Linked DNA regions of Macaca fascicularis. The protein of the gene in region 2 purifies or fractionates together with the protein of the main gene of each other region. This does not show direct contact. Links are inferred from orthologs where the notes say so. Each region holds a gene or a part of one and is shown on either strand. Other genes may lie near its edges.

The links.
Region 1: the proteins of SYMPK (region 2) and CPSF2 purify together in Homo sapiens (co-immunoprecipitation; 8 studies listed by BioGRID and IntAct, with this or other methods). This does not show direct contact. The link is inferred for Macaca fascicularis from reciprocal best matches to the Homo sapiens genes SYMPK and CPSF2.
Region 3: the proteins of SYMPK (region 2) and CPEB1 purify together in Homo sapiens (affinity purification with mass spectrometry; 3 studies listed by BioGRID and IntAct, counting the BioPlex papers as one, with this or other methods). This does not show direct contact. The link is inferred for Macaca fascicularis from reciprocal best matches to the Homo sapiens genes SYMPK and CPEB1.
Region 4: the proteins of SYMPK (region 2) and CPSF4 purify together in Homo sapiens (affinity purification with mass spectrometry; 4 studies listed by BioGRID and IntAct, counting the BioPlex papers as one, with this or other methods). This does not show direct contact. The link is inferred for Macaca fascicularis from reciprocal best matches to the Homo sapiens genes SYMPK and CPSF4.

Annotation. Positions count from the first base shown.
Region 1 is NC_088381.1:160,138,562-160,144,320, reverse strand, and holds part of CPSF2 (cleavage and polyadenylation specificity factor subunit 2), read right to left. Parts: intron 4,015-5,759; coding exon 3,827-4,014; intron 3,174-3,826; coding exon 2,883-3,173; intron 1-2,882. UniProt on the Homo sapiens protein: Component of the cleavage and polyadenylation specificity factor (CPSF) complex that play a key role in pre-mRNA 3'-end formation, recognizing the AAUAAA signal sequence and interacting with poly(A) polymerase and other factors to bring about cleavage and poly(A) addition.
Region 2 is NC_088393.1:53,905,524-53,911,282, forward strand, and holds part of SYMPK (symplekin), read right to left. Parts: coding exon 5,753-5,759; intron 4,701-5,752; coding exon 4,619-4,700; intron 4,421-4,618; coding exon 4,307-4,420; intron 3,360-4,306; coding exon 3,212-3,359; intron 2,314-3,211; coding exon 2,153-2,313; intron 852-2,152; coding exon 743-851; intron 435-742; coding exon 334-434; intron 1-333. UniProt on the Homo sapiens protein: Scaffold protein that functions as a component of a multimolecular complex involved in histone mRNA 3'-end processing. Specific component of the tight junction (TJ) plaque, but might not be an exclusively junctional component. May have a house-keeping rule.
Region 3 is NC_088381.1:68,599,993-68,605,751, reverse strand, and holds part of CPEB1 (cytoplasmic polyadenylation element-binding protein 1), read right to left. Parts: intron 4,372-5,759; coding exon 4,119-4,371; intron 2,268-4,118; coding exon 2,154-2,267; intron 1,830-2,153; coding exon 1,725-1,829; intron 889-1,724; coding exon 752-888; intron 1-751.
Region 4 is NC_088377.1:48,024,466-48,030,918, forward strand, and holds the start of CPSF4 (cleavage and polyadenylation specificity factor subunit 4), read left to right. Parts: upstream 1-2,481; 5' UTR 2,482-2,621; coding exon 2,622-2,724; exon of another isoform or gene 2,725-3,135; intron 3,136-6,385; exon of another isoform or gene 6,386-6,453. UniProt on the Homo sapiens protein: Component of the cleavage and polyadenylation specificity factor (CPSF) complex that play a key role in pre-mRNA 3'-end formation, recognizing the AAUAAA signal sequence and interacting with poly(A) polymerase and other factors to bring about cleavage and poly(A) addition.

The DNA.
Region 1 (5,759 bases), on a different chromosome or scaffold from region 2:
ACCTTAGTTGGCTCTGCCCAACACGCTATAGAAATATTCTATTTCTCGATCAGGGTACAGACTAGACAGGTGCATTCAATTTGTAAAAATTCATCATGCTATACACTTAACGTAGGTTTCAGTATATATTATACTTCAGTGAACATTTTTTAAACTTCCAGATTTTTGGTTTGAATATGTGGGAAGTGCTGCATTCTCTGAGATAAGACAGAAGAATAGTACTGGGAGTAGGGGAAGAATAAAAATTGTTTTGGATGTGATCAAGTAGAGGGGAAACTGCTAGATAACGAAGATAGGAGGGATAACTGCAAAGGAACTATCACTAAGAAGGTGAGCAAGAAAAGGTCCCTGAGCATGAGCATTAGTTATTAAAAAGATCAAAAACTTAACATTTGATGTTTTGGCTGTTTTTCATTTCTTTAGCATGCTTCTGAACATCACTGTCTATTTTTTTTCCCAAACTTAAACCATTTTTCTTTTACTAATTCCTCAAATGATTTATTAGACCCAATTTAATTTCTAGTAATTAAAATTTTCAAATTCAGTATTTCCTATCTGATGAAATTGTTTCAAGTATTTCTTAGTTCTTTTAACCTTATATTTCCAAGCTCCTAAATAACCTCAAAGACACCATTTTACTTTGCTATGCTTGCTCAGAATCCTGGCTCAACAATTCTATAATTATAGTACATATATCTCAGATTTTAGTAACTGATGTTATGCTTTTCTTAAGTAGAGTTGGAAGACAGATATCCCTACCACATAGCTTTTAACAAACTAAACTTTCCTTAAAATGACTGCTAAGGGCCAGGTGCGGTGGTTCATGTATAATTCCAGCACTTTGCAAGGTGGAGTGGGTTAGGGGGAGGTTTAGGGACAGCCTGAGCCTAGGAGTTCGAGGTTACAGTGAGCTGTGATGGTGCCACTGCACTCCAGGCTGGGTGACAGAGAGAGAGTCTATCTCTAATTAAATAATTACATGAGTGCTACAAAGACAAAATAAGAAGCAGCTTTATGATACTGCTTTATGTTACAGCTTTATGTTAAGGTTTAGTCGCCTAAACTTTTGCAACTCTGGCAGTTATTAACCATCCCACTATATCAAATGCTACAAACTTTAATGATATACTAGTTTTGAAAAATCGATAGAACTGATGCACTGGTTATTAAGCAAACGATCTTTGGGTATACTAGTCATTGAGCTAATTGTCTTGTTCCTGTAACAGGAGATAAGGCAGCAAATGCAGATGCAGAATCAAGTTAGTATATTTAGTGGTGGAAAGATAAAGGAATTCCTGACTCACTGCTTCGATTTCTATGTTAAGTTTGAGACAAGATCATGTGCTATGAATGAAGGCTGAGAGTGAGCTGTAGGATGTTTGAGGAGAAAGAAGATATAAAATTGCCTTACAGTGAGAACGGGAACATCCTACTGAATGCTGAGTACTGGTGTAGGGTCCCCTTCTGAGATGTGAAGTTATGCATGTGAAAACAAATCTGTCTACACTGTAGTGTTTAACTTCAGAAACATAAAGCTGCTTAAGTACAGGCACGCACCAAGCAAATAGTTTAACTAAGGTCAAAGCCTTTCCAGGGACTAAAACAGAAGTGTAAGAGAGTTAAAGATATTTGCAAAATTTTGATTAATTGTGAACCACTGAGTTTAAGGCTGGAAGGATGATAGACAGTATAAAGGTGAGGTTCATGAACTGAAAGTCCCAATGGAACTGAAGAGTTGTTGTCATGAGAATAACAGGGAAAGTCAGCTGTAAATTCAGAATGAGATGCTTGGAGACTGTTCGGCCAAAAGAAGGTTACAGGCATGACCACAGGAACAGATAGCATGACAGCAGGAATGGATGTCTGAGGTAAGATGAAGGAAAAGATTAAGAAATAAGGTGTCAAGTAACTGAGAAGAATTGGACAGATCATATACATGGAAGCTAAAGTCAGTGAGAATAAAGTCCTGAATACAAGTGGACAGGAAGACTGTGAATCAGGGTCAAATGGTGAATGACCAAGAGATCATTAAATGTCAGAAACAAGGAGGGGTCAGCATATCAGCAGGTCTGAAGGCAAAAACTGCAAATGGAAGATAAATAGCTAGGAAGCTGCAATACAGAACAAGGAAGACATGTACTCCATTCAAAGTACATGCAACACTGAAAGAAAGAGTAATTACTTCTGGGGGCTACAGGATAAAGAACGTCTTTAGGAAAGAGTCTGATTTAAATTAAGCAAGAGACAGGAAAGGAACCTTTCAGAGACTGAGAAAACACTGTATAGGCTTACCCTCTGGGTAAACTAGAGGGTACCAAGGAAAAGTTTAAGAATGAGAACTTCTTTTGAGACCACCCACAGCAATACAATGAGACGTCTCTACAAAAAATAAAAATAAAATAATAGCCAGGCCTGGTGGCACATGTCTATGGTTCCAGCTACTTGGGAGGCTGAGGGAGGAGGATCCTTTAAGCCCAGGAGTTTGAGGCTGCACGGAACTATGACAGCACCACTGCACTCTAGACTGGGTAACAAAGCAAGACCCCATCTCAAAAAAAAAAGAGAACCTCCAGTTAAGGAACTCTGAAATTTGTGCTATTAAAGGCTCTCTTCTACAGTAATTTTTTTTTTAAGAGATGGGGGGTAGGTCTTGGCATGTTGCCCAGGCTGACCTCAGATTCCTGGGCTCAAGTGATCCTTCCACCTCAGCCTCCCGAGTAGCTGGTACTACAGCACACACCACCACTCCTGGCTCTCAAGAGTAATTCTGATCAAAATCCTAAAACAACTTCAAGTTTTATTTTTGGTCACTATTTTTTATACATCACGCACAATGTATCCCCCAAACAGTCTTAAGATAAAGTTCACATACAAGTGCTTACCTCTATTTCTGTAATTTTTTCAGAAGGATTATCAATTAGGAAACGTGCTAAAGTCCCAGGAGTAGTTCTGTAAGTTAGAATGATTGAGTTCTTAGGATCCTGACACCACTGGATAAAGAGATCCCTTGAAAATCCACATTCCAGGTCAGGTTGGCTGGCAAGTACAACTTTAGGGCTAGGTACTCGGGCCAAGTCAGAAAGACCATGACATAAAGAGAGATGGCGAAACTGAAATGGATTATTTCTTTTGTCTTCAAAACATCTCATCAATTTATCACTCATCCATTCCACCTAATGTGGGGGGAAAGATGACAAGAATTAGAAATCCTATAACTTCAATATATTCTCTAATAGTCAAGGAATCCAAGTTCTATCTTTTACCCCCACTGGTTGCTTAAATTTGTAATGTTTTGACAAGCAGCTTATTTTCTGCTTCCATTTCCCATTAGATTATCCCACCCTAGTTTTCATCCCAAAAAAACCCAATTTTGCATTATATTTCACGTATAAATCACCTTAAATCTTTTTGAAAAGGCAAGGTATATGTTCTAAATGAAAATCTTACTCCCAGAGATTGCTATTTCAAGGCAAAAAGCTTATTTAAAAGAAAGAACAATGAATTCTAACATGTATATGCTATGAGGTAGGTTCTATTTTTGTCCCCATTTTACAGACTGGGATACTAAAGAGTTAGAAGAGAAGCAATTTGCCTAATCTTTAAAACAGGGATAAAAGGGAAACTACTTAGTAGAATAAATACAGATTAAATGAAATAATACATTTAAAGCACACAGAACAGTAAATGGTTAATGGCAAGTTATCATCATTACTAACAATCTCTTCAAGGGAAAAATAAAATCCAAAAAACAATGAAGACACCCACTTCCACAGACCCAATCACTGTAGCAAACTTCTTTATTACAAGTGACAACATGAGAACAAACCTGGGATTTAGAAAACTCTACCACATTGTAACTGACATTATTTAGGAGTGCCAATGAGTAAACACCCAGTCCTGCATCTTTAGTCCTCCAAATCTGATCAAGAAGTTGAGCAAGTTCCAAAACTCTGCCTGCTGTGTCCACTGCTATTAACACATTTCCATCACCTCGAAGTGTTTCCAGGACATTTGCTAGAAAACAAGAATGTAAAATCCCTATAGAACATAACAATACTATGCTACAAAATTACAGATAATTTTCTCTCTGTGTTTTTATTAGAAAGACTGTAATTTACAAATAAGCAACTACTAGGCCAGGTAAAAAATGAAGGAATTTTGTTCAGGTCATTACAACTGCTTTTGATTCTGTTGACTATCTCTTCAGAAATTCAGTGTCATTAACTCTCCATCTTTTTTCATTGAAAAATTATAAATCAGTAGTCCTCAACACTCTATACATTATAATACACATGGAAAATGGTGTGTGTATCACTGAGAAAATTGTTTGGCTAGGCCAAATGTAACCAGCCTGGTGTTTCTGGGCTACCCCAGTCTCGCCTATCCACCCCAATGAACTTTGTCCCAAACTTATGTACATACATATATATACACTCGCACAATTATATATACAGCCATCCCTCAGTATCCATGGGTACTGGCTCCAGGACCCCCACGAATACCAAAACCATCAGATGCCCCAAGTCCCTCATACAAAATGGTGGCCAGGCGCAATGGCTCACACCTGTAATCCCAGCACTTTGGTAGGTCAAGGCAGGAGGATGGCTTGAGTCCAGGAGTTCAAGACCAGCCTGGACAACATAGGGAGATCACATCTCTATAAAAATAAAAAAATTAGCCAGGCATGGTGGCACACGCCTGTGGTCTTAGCTATGTGGGAAGCTAGAGGGAGGTGCTTGAGCCCAGGAGTTTGAGGCTGCAGAGAGTCGTGAATGTGCCACTACACTCCAGCATGTACAATAAAGACTTTGTCTCAAAAAAAAATATATCTGCATACAACCTACATACATCCTCCTATATACTTTAAATCATCTCTATTGCTTATAATACCTAATACAATGTAAATGTTATGTAAATGGTTGTTACACTGTATTTTTTTACTTATATTTTTTTAAATTATTGCATTATCTTCTTTTATTGTTTTTTCAAATATTTTCAATCCACAGTTAGTTGAATCCTCAGATGTGGAACAGCAGCTACAAAGGGCCAACTATGTATGACACATAGTTCGTATGCGTGTATGCCTATAGAATAAAATATAGATCATATTCCCTCTCAACAAGTGTATCTTTATGGATTTCCTTGCTCTAGATGAAAGTCCCCTTGGAAATATGTCGTAAAACTGAACTCTAGCAAAAATAAGAATTAAAGAGCTGCTCCTTTTTCTGTTTTTTAGTTTGTTCGTGTGTTGAGACAGAGTCTCACTCTGTCACCCAGACTGGAGTGCAGTGGTGTGGTCATAGCTCACTGCAGCCTCAACCTCCTGGCCTCAAGCAATCCTCCCACCCCAGCCTCCCAAGCAGCTGGAACTATGGGCCTGTACCACCATGCCTGGCAAAAAAATTTTTTTTTTTTTGTAGAGATGGGGGTCTTGGCCGGGCATGGTGGCCCACACCTATAATCCCCAGCACTTTGGGAGGCCAAGGCAAGCAGATCACGAGATCAAGAGATCGAGACCATCCTGGCCAACATGGTGAAATCCCGTCTCTACTAAAAATACAAAAAATTAGCCGGGCGTGGTTGCGCACACCTGTAATCCTAGCTACTCGGGAGGCTGAGGCAGGAGAATCGCTTGAACCCAGGAGGCAGAGGTTGCAATGAGCCAAGATCGCGCCACTGCACTCCAGCCTGGTGACAGAGCAAGACTACATCTCAAAAAAAAAAAGGCCAGGCGCAGTGGCTCACCCCTGTAATCCCAG
Region 2 (5,759 bases):
AACCCCATCTGAGTCCCTTGCATGTCACATCCTAATCCTTGTCTCACAGAGAAGAAAAGCGAGTCTCAAAGAGGGGAAGGGACCCGCTTGAGGTAGAGGAGGAAGCAGCAGAGCCACGGGCACCCGGGTGCCCATGCAAATGAGTCCAGGAGCTGCTCTGCATTTCCAGGGTACACAGGTGCCAGCGGCTTCCACGACTTCTGACCACAGACAAGGTGTCTTCTGCCCTCTGCTATGTGCCTCTCGCTCAACCGCTTCTGCAACGTGCTGCCCTGCCCCTCCCGGTCCCACATGTCCCAGGTAGCAGGGACAGACGGGCCTCCGGCTCCATACCTTCTCCAGCCCATTGAGCACCGGGATGAGGAAGCGGACGTCTGGCAGTCGCTTGTGGTAGAGATCCCGGACCCGCTTCACCAGCTCCGGGGAGGGTGGGACTGCATGGAAGCAGCAGGAGGCACCGAGTTGGAGGCAGAAGGGAGTGTGGGGGAGGGTGGGCACCCAGGAAAGAGAAGCAGGCGGGTGTGAGGGAATGTATGGCAACTTCACAGCAGAACTTTTCACCCTTGGCTGCTCACGTGCAATTAGCACCACACTGTTCCAGATGGAGAAACTGAGGCCCTAGGACAGGCAAAGACCCACAAGAGGTACGACCATCTGGGGACCCAGTGGCTCGGATTCCCAGGACCCGGGGAAGGCTAAGGAAAGGGAGGAAAGCATGAAAGGTGGGGGTCTCCAGGGTCACCTTTGTCTGTGAGGCTGTGCAGACATCGTGTGACCAGTGTCTCTGCCCCCTTGGGACAGTTTTCCACCAGCAGGAGCAGCTCCGGGGAGTTCATGCCCATTCCTCGGATCTAGAGGCAGAGACAGGGATGACCACACCCAGGGTGAGAGCTTAGGGAAGGCTCAGGTGCTGCCGGCAGGGTGGCTGCGGGAAATGCTGGGGCTCAGGGTGAGACTGGTGACAGGGTTTGGAGGGTGGGGGAAAGGTAGGGAAGGGTGGGAGAGGTCAGAGAAACCTCGGCCTCTCCCTGCAGCCTCTCCGGATGTGGCCTGCTCCAGCTCCCAGCCCTGGCTGGGCTGTCCTCCAGCAGGCCACTCCTGTGTGGCTCAGACCCGACCTGACCTCGAATGCCTACCCTGTGCTTCACTCACTGGTAAAGATGTTTCTGGCTCCACCCACACCCACCCGCTTCGTGACTTGGTTTCTCATGCGCGGCTGGCTTGGCTGTGAGCCCAGACCAGGCTCCACCTGCTGCTGCTTCCTGAGCCTGCCCCATGGTGAACGCCAAACACAGGAGCTGGGGCCAGGCTCCACCTTCACCCAGGAACGTTTACGCTCCTGACTAAAACCGAATGTCTCTGCCCTCGGGAAGCTCACAGACCACAGGATCACTTTTCCGCAAAGTGAGATCACTTTTCCACAGTTGGCTCACCTTGGGAATGGGGCTAAAAATGTTTCCTCCTGACTACAAGCCTGTTATCCCCATTTTCCAGGTAAGGGCCCCACTGAACCCAAATGGCAGATAGGTGGGGATTAACATACAGTTCTCTCTCCCATTTATCATGAAAATGTTCGGTAATCCAAAAATGTCAGGGGCAGAAAGAAAAAAAGTGGTTTCAAACCCTGCTGCAAACTGAAGTGCAGACCTTCTCATCTCAGGTGACAGTCTGTCACTGAGCTGCTTCTCCTGTGGGCAGCCCTGTGGCTCGAGAGAGAGAGGTGGGAAGGACTTATGTAATGACAGCTAAAGAGTCCCATTAGCAACACCGGGAAGGTCAGCTCATAAACAGTGACAGTGACACAGAGGTTTATGTGCCTGAGTTCATGGACTCCTTGCATCAGCGTGGAGGGACTGGAATGTCTTCCCTAGTTTTACTGACAGGCCCGAGGTCGCAGTGAGAAAGTGACAAGTGAACACGAACCCAGCTCTATCCAGCTCTAGGCTCCTAACTGCTGAGCCACTCTGACGTTTCCTCAGGAACTGATGAGTGACATGCGGACCGCCCGCAAGCTACACAGCCTGGGTCAACCCGGGGTGACCACCCTTTGGGCTTGGCACACTCTGAGGTAGAGCAGGTTGGGGAAGAGCTGGAGCTGGGGACATAGCCCTGCCTGTGGGTGGGCAGGGCCTGGTGGGCTCAGGGGCCTCACCGGCTGCTCGATGACCCTCAGCACCGTCCGCTTGATGTCGGCGATGGCTTCAGTGTACACGGCCGCCAGCTCGTGGATCAGCTTGTGGTTCTGAGGCAGGAGAGCCAGGTAGAGGTAGAGACACTGCTTCACTGTCTCCTCCGTCCAGGGCGCTGCCACCTCTGACAGGGCAGGAGCGGCGTCGGATTGGCCCACACTCTTCTCCAACCCCCTCGGACCCTCAGTAACTGTCCCTTCTTGGGCAGTGGAGCCAGGGAGGGCAGAGAAGGGAGCCGGGGCTGGGGAGCTAATTGTTCTAGGGCAGGGAAATGGGGTGGGACCAGGACTTCCTACCTCCAGCCTTCCCCGACTGCCAACACACAAGGCAATTAGAAGGATCTTTGAGTGCAATCCTGACCCTGTCCCTCTCCACCTCCAAGCCCAGCCACGCCCTGTAGCCTCAGAATAAACCCCCGGCTCGCTGCCTCCCAGTGGCTGCCAGGTGTTGCATGGGGTGGCCCCGGCCTGCTGCTGCCCTGCTGCCCTCCATGGTGGTCACACACCCCTTCTAACAGTCCCGAAGGCCCTGGTCTCTTTGCCTTTGCATCCGCCCTCCTTTCTGCCTGGTCCACAGCACCTGCTCAGACTCTGGGCCTCCCGAAGGCTGTGCGTCTCCTGGGAATGCTTCCTGGCACCTGGGCCAGGCCTCCCGTGCTGCCCTATCATGGCCCCAAGACTTCCCATTTAAGGGTCCATTTACTCGGGGTCTGAGTCTACCTGTCTGTAATCCTGGGGGACCCAAGGCTCTGTTGAGGGAACCTGCCTGAGATGACCCTGCCTGGTCCTTCCTGGGGCCCCACCGATGGCTGGCTCTCCTCGTCCGCCAGATCTCTCTCCCTGACCCCCTAGGCTAGGTCAGATGCCCCTACCCTGACTCCCACAGCCCCCAGGTGGCTGTCCCAGCCCTGCCCGTTCCCGTCACTGGTGTCTGGGTGGCTTCCCCACTCAGCCCCTCTGCTCGCAGCGACCAGAGCGCGGACACAGCAGCACTCAATATGCATCTGATGACCTGCGCCCAACCTGTGTCTTTGTCAGCTCCAAACAGCACAGACGGTGGGTTGGGGTGCACCAGGAGCTGCAGGTAGTTGAGGGCAAATTTCTCCACATACTCCCGCAGCTGCTCCTTCTCATACATGCGTTTGATGAACAGCAGGGCCTGGGAGCGCACCTGAGGAGGAAGATGGAGAAGGGCAGGGTCAGGGAAGAGGGAAGAGGAAGAACAGCTATTCCTGCGAGTGTGGCAACACTCATGTGAAAACAGACCCGAGCCTGAGAAGGGGCAGCCCAGCTGCTACCAGGGCCCAGAGCTGGTCCCCAGCGCAGGAGGCAGATATCCCGGCCAGGGCCGGACCCACAGCACCACCTCGCTGCCTGCCTCTCCAGCCCATCTGCCCGTCTTTCCAGCCCATCTGCCCGTCACTGCTCCTTGCCTTGCTCACCAAGCTCCAAGCAGAGGGAGATCTCAGTTCCTTAAAAGTGCCACTCCCTGCCAAGTCTCCCTAGAACGCCTACTGCCAGCTAAACACTGTTTCACTCAGATATTATCTGCCGGGACCTGTGAGGGTAGGGGCTGGTCCTGGGCACTCTGATCCCAGCAGCAGCACAGGGCCAGGGCCAGGGCCAGGGGTGTGCAATGAAGGTCTGCTGAATGAATAAACATGCTGCCAGGCAGGGGCTGGGGCAAAAGGCTGCAGGCAAGGATGGGTCAAGGGCGCTCTCAACCACAGCATATGCACATTTGTCCCCTCGTCTAGAGCACACCCAGCTATTCATTTTCCAGGTCTCGGCCCACATCTCCCCTTCTTGAAGGAAGCTTTCCTTGAAACACCTCCCCTGCCCACCCCACCACCAGATGGTCGGCCCCTCCCTCCCCAGGGCTCCGCAGCTGCACACTGCTCTGCTCAGCTGCTGAGCATGCTGGGTCCTCACTGCTGGCTGAGGCCACACTGGCTCCCCTGCTGGGCAATGCCCTCAGGCCCCAGCACAGGACTGGGCTGCACGAGGAGCCTGTGCTGGCCACCACAGGCGGACTAAGAACGAGTTGGTTCCTCAGGATACAGGTGGCCTCTGCAAACTGCAGGCTGAGGGCAGCCAGGAAGTGGAGCAGGGGATCACCTTGTCCTTCTCATGGGAGCTGAGGTCGAGAAGGACATGCAGGTACTGGAACTGGCGGGACGGGCGCTTGAAGATCAGGTCTCGAAGCGTGGACATGCCCAGGTAGGTGCGACTCTGCAGCAAGAGGAAAGGGACCTGAGCTCAGCCCACCTGACTGTGCCTTTGGGCTCTCTCTCCTGACTGCCTCTGACAAAACAGCCCGGTCCCTCATGAAACCCCTTGCCACAAGGTTTAGGCTGTGTGCCCTTCAGAATCCTCAGGGGAGAGCCCTGTCCCTTGGCCCAGGCTGCAGTGACCAGGGCCTGTCCTCACCTCATCCTCGCAGTACTTGCGGATCACCTCCAGGGCACTCTCTGTGATGAGGGGCGCCTCCAGCACAACCTTGGTGAAGATCCTGCCAGAGATGGAGGGAGGGCCATGGCTGCAGAGGAAAAGGCCGCCTGGCTCCCAGGCCCTACTGAATTGTAGGAGCTCAGGGCCAGCAGGCCCTCCCTCAGGGGTTGCTTGTTCAAGCCCCTGGTTATAAAGCTTTGGAAGTGAAAAGACCAGGGTTCAAAAGCTGCCGGCTGGATGATCTAGGCAGAGGCTGCACCTCTCTGAAACTCATTTCTTCCTTTTGTCAAACAGGGATTCCTAACTTTATTCATTGAACATAAAAATGGGAGGGAATGACGGCGGGTGGAGAAGGGTGTGGGTATTTTAGATATGGTGGCCTCAAAAGGCTGCTTCGAAGTTACATTTGAGTATACTGGTAGATGAGAAGGAGCCAACCACACACACAGTTGAGGGAAGGGCATTCCAGGCAGACAGAACAGGAAGCACTAGTGCCCTGAACTTGGCACACTCGAGGAACAGACAGAAGGCCAATGTGGCTAATGTTCAGGGAGTAAAGCCAAAGAGAGTGAATAACATAACGCCTCACTGGTCACAGTAAGGAGGCTGTGCTTTACCCTAAGAGCAATGGAGAACCATGGAAGGTTCCTCGTGGGGAAGTAATAAAAGGATTTATATAACAAAGTGTTCCCGGAGCTGCTGTGTGGAGGACAGATGAGTAAGCTGGAGGCCACGGACAGGGAGGAAGCTACAGAACCAACTCAGGTAGGAAATGGGGTGTAGAGAAGTCTATCTCCAGGCCCATGGGTGAGTACTGTTATTTACAGATGGGAAAATGACACACAGGGGGAGTGACAAAGCCACTCAAACCATGCTCAGAGCAAGTGGCAGAGCTGGGGAACAGCTCAGGGAGTGCGACCTGCAGCTCACATGCAAAACTACAACCTTGAACGTGCCTCCAGAGGGGGAAGGAGGAGAGAAGACTTGGGATGGACTCGAGAAGGACTGACTCGGGGGGTGATGAAGAGGGAGGTGGTCAGAATCAGAAAGGGAGAGCAGCACCAGAAGAGGGGGCCTCGTGGGGACAGGAGGGTGCAGGGTCAGCCCCCTCACCCATCCT
Region 3 (5,759 bases), on a different chromosome or scaffold from region 2:
ATTCCGGAGCTCAAAACTTGCTTTGACAAGTGATTCTCAAACACTATCCACTAGATCCACTTGGGGATCTTTGTTCAGTTGGAGATTCCTAAATTCCACCCAGAGTGATTCAGTAAGTCTGGGATAAGGCCCAAGAATGAGCAATGAGATCCCCAGGTGAAATAAACTCGTTAGAGACCCATGCTGCCAAGGATACATAAGGCTGATATTAGAAAAGACGTAGGAAGAGAGAATCTTATGGGGAAAACCCACAAAACTAAATAAAGCCCCGAATGAGAATGAAGAAGTGACCCACAGGTGGATGTGGGCTAAAGAGGAATTCACCCTCACAGACTGGGAGGTAAGAAGGCACAGGAAGGGCAGGACCAGGGAAAAACAGCTGTAGGTTTATCAGTTAAGTACAAGTAGAGAAGTCTGCTGTTCTCAATTTCAATTCTAAGACAAGAGGTTTAAAACTAAAGTGTTGGCTTCAAGAAAGAAGAGTAGAGTAAAGGCTGGGAGACAGTTTGATTACCATGGGCAGGCACACGCATGTGTGCATGCACATACCCCATTAAGGCCCAAAGGTTGCTTTCTTTTCTTTTTTATATAATTGAGAGGATACTGCTATTTTATTGTGGGAGAAGAAGAGCCTTCTTGCCTCAGCAGGAATACTCCTTGCCTGCAGCCTACCTATCCACCTACCCCAAGAAAATCCAGTGCCTCAATATGCCAAGAACCTTGATCTAGAAAGGACATCATGCTAACTCACCTCCTTGCAGCGCATCCTTCGGCTGGACATCTTGAAATAATATTCACTCAGGCCATCTGGGCTCAGCGGGTCATGAGAGCAAGCCTGAAGCAAGGCTCGGACAGACTTCTCCAGTTCGAAGACCAGATACACATACCCTATTCCCAATGAGAGGAAAAATCACATTAATATCCCTTAGGTGGCCACTCCTCAGCCTTGGCTTTGCAGCAGGGAGTTTCTTCCAAGAAAGAAGGCCTTGTGTATAAGATACATTTTTGTTTTACTCCTGAAAAGTCTTGTTGAGTGGAAGCATTTGCTATGCAGATGCCCAGGGTTGTTGGCCTCCCTCCCACCCTGGTGAAGGAAAGGACTGGCAAGCTGAGACAGAGAGATCCCACCATTACCACAGCTCTCTATGCCAGAACACACAGCATGTTCAGGTCAGCAGAGCCAGGCTTTCCTGGGGGCAGGAAGGATGGCAGTTATTGCTTTAAACGCCTACTTAAACCATTAGTTCAGTTCAATGAAGATGGAGCAGGGTGAAAATAGCAGCTGCTCCTTTCTACAGGGAGGGGATCTCATTTCAGACCAGTGAGGAATCAGATGCTTGGTCCTCATTCCTGCCAACTCCAAAGGGACTTCAGAATTAGGTCAGGCAACAACGTAACTGGGCAGGACAGGCAGGCAAGGGAAAGCTTTTCAAACGCCTTATTTTGAGAGGAAAGGTGCTGCTTGGGTTCAGGTTTAGACAGAAGTGTACAAGGAAGGGGTTTCAGAGGCAGCTCCCACTGCTGTGTAAGTCTGGACAGATGCAACATTAGCTCCGAAGAAATAGAGGGACGTGTTAGGTTGAAGAGAAAGTGCTGACAGATGACAGGTCTGTGCCCTGGAGTGCCCACCATGTTACCAACATGCAGCTGTGACATCCCAGCACCCATAGGTGCAGTTATGTTCTAGGGAAGGGAAAAAAAAGCTCCTACCATGTCTTTATTACCTTTAGGCATATTACCTTTGGGAGGACACCGGGGGTGCTTGCCATCCTTACCAGGCCACTCCACACTCAAAGAGCCAAAAACACGGAAGGTGTTAACTAATCCAGCTGCAAAGAGACAGAAAACAATGGCAGAAGCTGAGGAACCATCTTTCCCAGTAAAGACGCAAACACAGAATCACCAGCATTCTCCTCCCTGGCTCATCCCCACTGACTGACAACTCAGAAATGGATGCTGATCTCCGGTGTAAGCTCCCGACATAGGAGCACTATGGGGGTATATGAAATGCACCTCTCCCCTCAGACACTCATGTAATACCCCTGAACTCAGGCAGGGAATTCAGCCCCTGGCCTCAATTCCAAGTTTCATGCTCCTGAAAGACATGCCCCACCCTTCTACTCTTAAAGCAGGAGGTCTTAGAGACAGCTCACCTTCTGTAATATCCCAAGGAACACCTCCTAGAAACACCTTGCAAGAGTAGATGGGGTTCTTATAGTTCCGGGGAGGAAGCTGGCCACTCCAGGTACAGGTGGCTTCATTCACAGCTTTGGTAGATGGCAAAGAGATAAACAGGGGAGGTTAGAAAATCAGCAAAGCCACCACTCTTCCCTGGGGTGAGCTTGTCCAGTAAGAACCTGACTGGCCACAATCCCTGCCCAGATGCCTGAGAGAATATCCATGATTATTCCGAAAAGCAAGAAACCTATGTCTCACCAATCCACTCAGTCAAGTATGATAATCCTACTTTGCTAATTCTGTCCCCACTAAAATGGAAAGGAATGCCAAGCCAGATGTGTAGGGTAAAAATTTACACCCCATGTTATTTTCAAACATTCAACTAATATGCTAACCACAAAGCAGTTTTATCTTATTGCTTACAGTACTACTAATTCATAATTACTTGAAAATAAACAGAGCAATAGAACATCTTACAGGCTTACTGGTACAAATGGGCCTTCTCCCCAATGTTCAAATGAGAAACATTCTATTCTGTTTCCCTGTCTTGGTTCTGAACTCATTAATCACAGAAGTTAGGACACTGCCAATAAAAACCAGCACTAGCAACCCAGTAAGACAAGAATGTCACAACTGTTCCAAGCCAGACTCATCTTTATAGCACCCAAATGGACAATGGGCCTTCCTTGATGTCAACATGGTAAGATAATCAGTCTTCAATCCTGTCCCCACTGTTTGTACCTTTCCAAATCAGAGACTGACCTTAGTGAGGACTAGTTAGTTCTTGCCCATTTATTTCACCCTCCTCTTTCAGCAAAGAGGCAGACAGCCAATGAAAGGAACTATCATTTTCATTCAGGACAAAGATGTGGAAGGACACTTCCTAAAAGGAATAGGCCCAAGGTGTTGCTACAGCAAGAAACTGGGCAATGTCAGCAATCTTTTACGACAAAAACAGAATATAATGGTCTCATTCAAAAGCATGGTAATGTCATTTCATATGAAAACAATGGCACCAGAAAAAGTACTAAGATGGGCTGCCAAAATCATTAGGTGAACAGGGCACAGCACTATCAGAGAAGAATGAGATCCAGCCCAACTCTGTGAGCAAACAGATACACGGAAATAAATGGAATGGAGAAACTAACACTAACTTAGTCATCAAATTCAGGACCTCAGAAGAGCCAGTGGTTAATGAACTTCTCCCTGGAGCGGTACTAGACAAAGATGAAAAACAAACTTAATACATACTTAAGATAATTTATTTTTTAAACCTTTTAAAATATATAGAGATGGGGTCTCGCTATGTTTCCCAGGTTGGGCAACTCCTGGGCTCAAGCCATCCTGCTGCCTCTGCTTAAGTGCTGAGCCACCAAGGCCAGCCTAAGATAATTTAAATGTCAGAACCTTAAGGATTCCTGTCCTGGTGACATTCCTTACCTTAGAGGTTGACAAATGGACCCCTCCTTCCCCAGTGCATCCATGAGTGTACCAATCAGAAAGCCTCGGGGATGAAAGGTCCAGCATGAGTTGTGTCTGACTGTCTTTGAATTAGAATGTGGAGAGGGTAGACAAAATTCTGGACATTCCTTCCAGAGTTTCTCTTGAGGACATCCACCCGTGGAAGAAGTAAAAGCAAGAGCAGCACACAGCCAGTCTCCATGGAAGGGCACAAGTGAGAGACAGAGCCAGCCCCTTGTGCTGTGGCACATGCATGTGCCAGATTATCTGCCTCTTTCCTCTCCACTCAGCCTCAAGAAGTTCCTGAGTTTGTTCCCATTAGCACTTACTCCACAGAAAGATAATTCTTTGCAGATTTGGAGACTTCACCATGCAACCAAGCCTCCTCTAGACAGTTCACAAGCGTGTGAACTAAGGTCACTTCCTCTGTGCTCCCAGAATGAGGCCTCAGGCCCCACACACGCTCAAGGCACACTCACCTGCAGCTTGTCGGTGCAGCCTGGCCTCTCTCTCTATGCTGAAGGGGTCTTTGGGAGCTTCGAGGAGGTCCCAGGATGGCCACACAGAAGCTCCTGGCCATCTCTTTGAAGCACTGGTTGGGGAGGGAGTGACTGCAGCAAGAGCAGCTTGCTCTTGGTCCATCCGAGACCCTACCCCCATCTTTAAAGGGTCCCTGGGACCACCCCCTGTCAGAGACAGGAAGGGCAGAGGTGGGGAAATGCGAAGGCTTGACTAGGGGAGGAAAAAGGAAGACAGGGTTTTAAAGGACAGTTTTGTTATAAAGTAATAATCACATTATAGAAATTATTAAAAACATCCAACAGACATTTAGCATTTGATATATATTCTTTTAGACTTTCTTCCTGAGCAGTTTTGATTAGTTCTAGTTATACTATAATTTAAACAAATTCTCCTTCTCTCCTCATTCAGCAATTTTTCCATATTGCCAGTCTTTATAGCCATTTAAAATGCATTTATCATATTCTATTTAGGGAACAAGGTACATCTCACTGACCCATACTCTTCCTGCTACATATATACTTTCCAAGTTTTCAGAACCATAAACAAAAATTAAGATGTAGCTTCTTCATATTTTTTGTTTTCTTTGGTCAGATTCCTAGAAAGTCGAATGCCAAAAATGCTATCTATAACAGCTCTGCATTGTATCATAAATGTATCAGAACACTATAAGCTGTGTCAAACCTTTAAATTCTAATTTACATGTGTGAAATGATACCACATTATCAGAATAACTCATTGACAGAATATTTTAAAATCCCCAAATATTAATCAGTCATGAGATAAATTTTCAAGACTGAGTCCAATCTAAGTAACATAGAACTATCAGCACTGTATCTGACCCCATTTTACAGAAGAGGTAACTGCAGCCCGGAGAAGCAAAGAGACCCGCATGTGATTGTCCTTTTAGAAAAGCAGCCTTAACAGATAAAACCAATGGGCAGCGAGAACACCAACTTCCACATTCTAGGACAGGCTGACAGGCGATCACAACCAATGCTGCCAGTCCTGGGTATGGGGAAGAGAAGAAGGTGGGAAAATAAGCCATTCTATTCACTGCACATTCAGCTCGGGAGATTTGGCAAAAAAAAAAAAAAAAAAAAAAAATGCTTATAAGGCATCTGAAACTGTATTCTTATTTTGGGGTAATTTCTTACTGCTAATCCCACCTGTATTTACTTCTACTATTCCCTATCTATATTATCTGTACTACTCTATCTATAATATCCCCTACCTATTCTAATTCATTTGCCAACTCCAGTTAGCATGAAGACCACACACATCATACATGGCTGTAGATAAGGAACGTGAAATGCAGAAATTAACTGAGGCAATGTTTCATAGATTCATCATGGTGTGAATTAAAAAAAGCTGACATGGGTCAGTGGAAAAAATATAGGAGCCACAGTCAGTCAGATCTGGATTAAAATCCTCTCTCTGCTAATTACTACTTTAAAATTTTTTAAGTTATTGCTTCTGAGATATCATACATCAAAGTACATAAATGACACTGTTTAAGGGCTAAAGCAAGCACTCCATGTAGGTAAAGAAACAGAATACTGCTAAGGCCCTCACATTTACTTTTGAAATTAAGTGTTTTC
Region 4 (6,453 bases), on a different chromosome or scaffold from region 2:
AAAAATACAAAAATTAGCTGGGCATGACAGCATGTCCCTGTAATCCCAGCTACTCGGGAGGCTGAGGCAGGAGAATCACTTGAACGTGGGAGGCAGAGGTTGCAGTGAGCCAAGATAGCGCCATTGCACTCCAGCCTGAGCAACACAGCAAGACTCTGTCTCAAAAAAACCAACGACGACAACAAACAAAAAACTAGGCCCAGCAAGGGGAGAGACTTGCTGGGGTCCTGCAGCAGTGCAGTGGGTGAGACTGGCCAGTTTGGCCTGGGCTGGCTTAGAACTCAGGTCCATGTAACGTATGGACAGACTCTCCTGACTAGCACCTTTGTGAAACTAGTGCAGGGGGCCTTTATCATTCTGCATCTGGCAAGCCCTGCCACTCCTTCTTACAAGCATGGTGTTTATGTAATTTTCTTTTTATGGGAATGGCGTCTTCATGTTGCCCAGGCTGGAGTGCGATGGCACAGTGGCAAACGCACAATCACTGCAACCTCCAACTTCTGGGCTCAAGTGATCCTCCTACCTCAGCCTCCCAATTAACTAGCACTACTGGTGCACACCACCATACCCAGCTAATTTTTTGTAGAGATGTAGTCTCCCTATGTTGCCAGGCTGGTCTAGTACTCCTGGCCTCAAGCAATCCTCCAGCCTTGGTCTCCCAAAGTGTTGGGATTGCAGGCGTAAGCCTCCATGCCCTGCCTTATGTGCATTAATTACAATACACAGAATTACAAAACAAAAAGCAATGATATTGAAATGGCATCAAAATGCTTTAAAAACAAATTTCTGCTACACTAGCATAGATGCTTATTTTCAATGCATTAAATAACAAGACCCGGCCGGGCGCGGTGGCTCACGCCTGTAATCCCAGCACTTTGGGAGGCCGAGGCGGGCGGATCACAAGGTCAGGAGATCGAGACCACGGTGAAACCCCGTCTCTACTAAAAATTACAAAAAATTAGCCGGGCGCGGTTGTGGGCGCCTGTAGTCCCAGCTACTCGGGAGGCTGAGGCAGGAGAATGGCGTGAACCCGGGAGGCGGAGCTTGCAGTGAGCCGAGATCGCGCCACTGCACTCCAGCCTGGGCTGGGCGACAGAGCGAGACTCCGTCTCAAAAAAAAAAAATAAAAAAAATAAATAAATAAATAAATAACAAGACCCTACAATAATTTCAAAGCAGTAACGAATGTAAGTGACAGCTTAAGATACCACCTTGTAGGTGCTGCACAAACTGTTTTTTTTTTTTGAGTCTCACTCTGTCGCCAGGCTGGAGTGGGGTGGTGCCATCTCGGCTCAATGCAACCTCTGCCTCCCGGGTTCAAGCGATGCTCATGCCTCAGCCTCCCAAGTAGCTGGGATTACAGGCACGCACCACCACTCCCGACTAATTTTTATATTTTTAGTAGAGACGGGGTTTTGCCATGCTGTCCAGCCTGGTCTTGAACTCCTGACCTCAAGTGATCCTCCTGCCTCGGCCTCCTAAAGTGCTGGAGTGACGGGTGTGAGCCATCACTGCACAAACTCTTATCTGGAACTATCATTTACACTCACCCCAACTTGAAATTATGACACAGTTTCAGGCACTGCTAAGGCTGCTCCAGCAATTGGGAAAGGAAATGCTAAATTTCACAGAGAAAATAGGGGTGTCATTTTGTTCCTATACAATTTCATTACCCCACCCTGGTTAGAAAACCCTGAATTAGACCATACAGTGGCTCATGCCTGTAATCCCAGCACTTTGGGAGGCCCAGGCGAGTCGATCGCTTGGGGCTTGGGGCTAGGAGTTCAAGACCAGCCTGGGCAACATAGCAAGGCCCCCATCTCCACAAAAATTAAAAATAAAAATTTAAAAATTAGCCAAGCGTGGTGGTGCAGCTACTCAAGAGGCTGAGGTGGGAGGATCGCTTGAGCCTGAGAAGTTGAAGCCGCAGTGAGCTATGATCATACCGCTGTACTCCAGCCTGGGCCACCTAGCGAGAAAAGAAAAAACCCTGAATTAGAGACACGCTGCGGCCGTCCTTCTTCGGAGAGACCCGCCCCTCCTCAGACGCCTACCCGGACCCTCAGGCCAACGCCGACCCCTCTCCACACAGACTTTTGCAGCCTCAGTTTCCCTCCTCGGACGCCCCTGGCTCCAATCCTGGTTCGGGCACTTCCTTCCCCTCTGGCGTGTCTCTGCCCGGATCCCGGGGTTCCTGCGAGGATCACACAAGAACTCACTTGAAGTGTCCGGCGCAGTGCACTCCGACGGGGCTCTCTACCCGGTCCCCGCGACGGACCCGGCTCTCCCACGGGTCACCCTCTCCCCTGACGCGCAAGCGCAGCCCGCGTAGCCGACACACGCGGCTGGTTTCAGGTTTCCGGCGAGACTAGGCCGGCGTTCGGCTGGCGGCTAGCCGGGACTAGCGGAGCGGCGGGACTCCGCGCTCGATTGGCAGTGCCTGGACAGGCGCAAGAACCGGCGCGGGCTCTGGGCGCTCCCGGCATCCCTCGGGCGGCGGCGGCGGCGGCGGCTGCGAGGCGCAGGAGGAGCGTGTGCGGCGGGCCCGGCGGCGGGTAGAGAGGCGAGAGGGCTGCAGGAGACCGAGGGGGAGCCGGGCCGGTGGGGCCGCCGCCGCCGCCATGCAGGAAATAATCGCCAGCGTGGACCACATCAAGTTTGACTTGGAGATCGCAGTGGAGCAGCAGCTCGGGGCGCAGCCGCTGCCCTTCCCCGGCATGGACAGTGAGCGCGGGGCCCTGGCGGGAGGGCGAGAGCGACTCGAACCCCTGACCCGCTCCTCTGTGTTCCCGGGACTCCTTCGCCTCGGTCCTGAGACCTCCCCCGGCTTCCTCTGGATCCTGGGACCCCTCCCCTTCGGTCGCGGGACTCCTCCCTCTATGTCTTGAGAGTCCCTCCCACCTCCTCCGGGTCCTGGGACCCTCCCCTTTAGTTCCCGAACTCCCTCATCTGTGATCCGGGACTCTTCTCACTCCATCCTGAGACCTCCTCTTCTGGATCCCGGGACGCTCCCCCTTGGTTCCAGGACTCCTGACTCCCAGGTCCCCATTTCCACCGTCTGGGGACCCCTTTTCCCCTCACTCGAACTCAGGAGTTCACTGCCTCGGATCTTTGGCCCCCTGCGGCTGTTTAAAGGTAATCTGTAGGCGGGTAGGACCTTGTCCGTTCGCTTAATTCTTGAATAAGGGTGGGTTATCCTGGATTGGAACTCTCCCTCAACACTCTCCCAGCTACAGGAGAGTACTAGGATATCGCACCCCCTACCTCCCAACCCCGCTACATTGAGCGTCTCTTCTTTTTGCTTTCATCAAAACTAGGCTGTTGGAGGAGGCGTGCTGAGGGAAGGACCACCTCTCTGTAGGAGACCCCAGCTAGACTCTTAAACTTCCTTCTAGGACTCTCTCTCCTGGGAGCTCATCCTTAGTTTTTGGCCTGTCCCTACTTTTTTCTGGACCCCAACTCTGAGTTGTTCATCACACCCAGCAGCTGGTGTGGTCCCTTAGCCTGAACTCCCTTCACTCCTCCCTTTCACATGGTGGCTCCTGGCTCCCCATATCTTGTACTTTAAAAGAAACCGGTAGTTTTCTTTGTGTCTTCTTTCCTATCCGGACACACTTGAAATCTAATGCTATAGCCTTAAAGTCCGCGGGCTTGTGGAAGTCACTGAGTTCAATCCACAGATGGGGAAACTGAGACCCAAGCAGGGGAAGGGACTTGCTGACGACCACTCAGTGCATAGCAGAGCCAGGCAAGTTCTCCAGTGTTGTGTGCTGTCGCCCCGCACTACCAGCGGGGTCTCCCACGTCTCCCAGCAGCCTCTCTCCCCTCAGGCGGCCACACCTTCTCATGCACATGTGACCTCTGAGTCTGTCCCTTTCTGTGGTTTTTTTGTTGTTGTTTGTTTGCTTTTGAGACAGGGGCTCCTCTTTTGCCCAGGCTGGGTGCAGTGGCGCAATCATGGCTCAATGCAGCCTCGACTTCCCAGGTTCTGACAATCCTCCCACCTCAGTTTCCCAAGTAGTTGGGACCACAGGTGTGCACCAACACGCCTGGCAAATTTTGTGTGTGTGTGTTTCTTGGTAGAGACACTGTTTCACCATGTTTCCCAGGGTTGGTCTTGAACTCCTGGGCTCAAGCGATCCTTTCACCTCGGCCTTCAGAAGTACTGGGATTACAGGCATGAGCCACCACACCTGGCCTATATTGGCCTATATATATATATATATATATATATATGTGTGTGTGTGTGTGTGTATATATATAAATTTTTTTTGCTGCCTGTCCCACAACTTTACATGGTGATACTTCTGTACAAGATAGTTTCGTTGGAAGTTAAGTCATCAAGAAAAACAAGATAGTGCTTATAAAGAGACATCATCAGACCACCCTATTTGACACACGCACAAACACCATCGCCACTGTACACCCCCTAAAAAGCAGCTGCTGAAATTCACACACACACACCCCCTCTTACCTACCCCTCGAGTCCTGTGATAACTTCATCCCTGCACATGTGGCCTTTTCCTGTCTCTTTTTTTTTGAGATGGAGTTTCGCTGTTGTTGCCCAGGCTGGAGTGCAATGGCGTGATCTCAGCTTACCGCAACCTCCACCTCCCGGGTTCAAGCAATTCTCCTGCCTCGGCCTCCTGAGTAGCTGGGATTATAGCCTCCCGCCACCATGCCCAACTAATTTTTGTATTTTCAGTAGAGATGAGGTTTCACCATGTTGGCCAGGCTGGTCTTGAACTCCTGACCTCAAATGATCCGCCTGCCTTGGCCTCCCAAAGTGCTGGGATTACGGGCGTGAGCCACTGCGCCCAGTCGGCCTTTTCCTGTCTTGATGGCACTGGCTTGAGACCATGGAACCACCCATGCAGGGCAGATCTTTCCCTTCCATCCTTCTGCCACCTGACAGATCCACAAGCCTGTGAGGGGAGGTACAGTGGTGAGGGGCCCACATACCTGTTCTTGAGACCAGGGACACGCCTGGCCCTGGGTGCTGCCCCAGCCAGGGCTTCAGAGTTGGTAGGCACCCTCCACACTCACTGCTTGTCCATATCCTGTTCAGTTAAAGCCTAGTGAGGCCACAGCCCTTCCTCACCCATCCCTCCTCTTCATGCCCATCTGAGGTTTGGGAATAACTGTCACTTTGCCCATAAGGCATACTCATCCCATCCACATGAGGCTCAGTTCCCAGAACTGTGGATTTCTGAGCAGAAACAACTCTAACCTCTGAAGAGAAAGACCAGACCAGAGATACTTTCAGAATTTTTTTTTTTTTTTTTTTTTTTTTGAGACAGAGTCTTGCTCTTGTTGCCCAGGCTGGAGCACAGTGATGTAATCTTGGCTCACTGCAACCTCTGCCTCTGGGTTCAAGCGATTCTCCTGCCTCAGCCTCCCGAGTAGCTGGGATTACAGGCATGTGCCACCACGCCTGGCTAATTTTTGCATTTTTAGTAGAGACGGGGTTTCTCTACATGAACTCCTGACGGCAAGTGATCCACCCGGCAAGTGATCCACCCGCCGCAAGTGATCCACCCGCCTCGGCCTCCGGAAGTGCTAGGATTACAGACGTGAGTCACCACACCTGGCCACTTTCAGACTTTTTGAAATGCAAATAGAGTGACCTCCCTGTGACAGCCAAGGAATCTTTTGTGATTTAGTAAGGGGGGGCACGTTAAGTGGACTTCAGAGATGCTGTCATTGGTTTTTCAGCAATTCTAAAATGGTTACTTGTAAGGAAACTGTTTCTGATGCCAAGGTCAGTTTAGTCTGGAAACCGGGTGCTGGTGAATTCCTGGACTCATCAGAACAGCTAGTCCCTGGAGCCCACTGAATTCCAGCACACTCTTAACTGTGGGAATGAAAGGCTGTGCTTTTTTTTTTCTTTTTTCTTTTTGTTAACAAGCAACATAATCAAAAACAAAAGCACAACAACCTTAAAGCTGAAACAGCAATAAGTCAAACTGCTGCGGCAGTTCACAGATGTACCTGGGGTACATGCTTCCTCATTTCGAGGCAGGGACATAGGCACATGACTGTGCATTTAGGTATATATGTGACCAAAAAGAATGAGAGAAATGAATCCCAGCACTTTGGGAGGCCGAGGCGGGCGGATCACAAGGTCAGGAGATCGAGACCACGGTGAAACCCCGTCTCTACTAAAAATACAAAATATTAGCCGGGCGTGGTGGCAGGCGCCTGTAGTCCCAGCTACTCAGGAGGCTGAGGCAGGAGAATAGCATGAACCTGGGAGGCGGAGCTTGCAGTGAGCCAAGATCGCACCACTGCACTCCAGCCTGGGTAACAGAGTGAGACTCCGTCTCAAAAAAAAAAAAAAAAAAAAAGAATGAGAGAAATGGAAAACACTGGAGAACAGAAAGTATCAAGAACCTTTCATTAGGCAGTCCCAAAGCGCTCTGCTCTTTTCCTCTTCTCTACCTCTTTATCCTC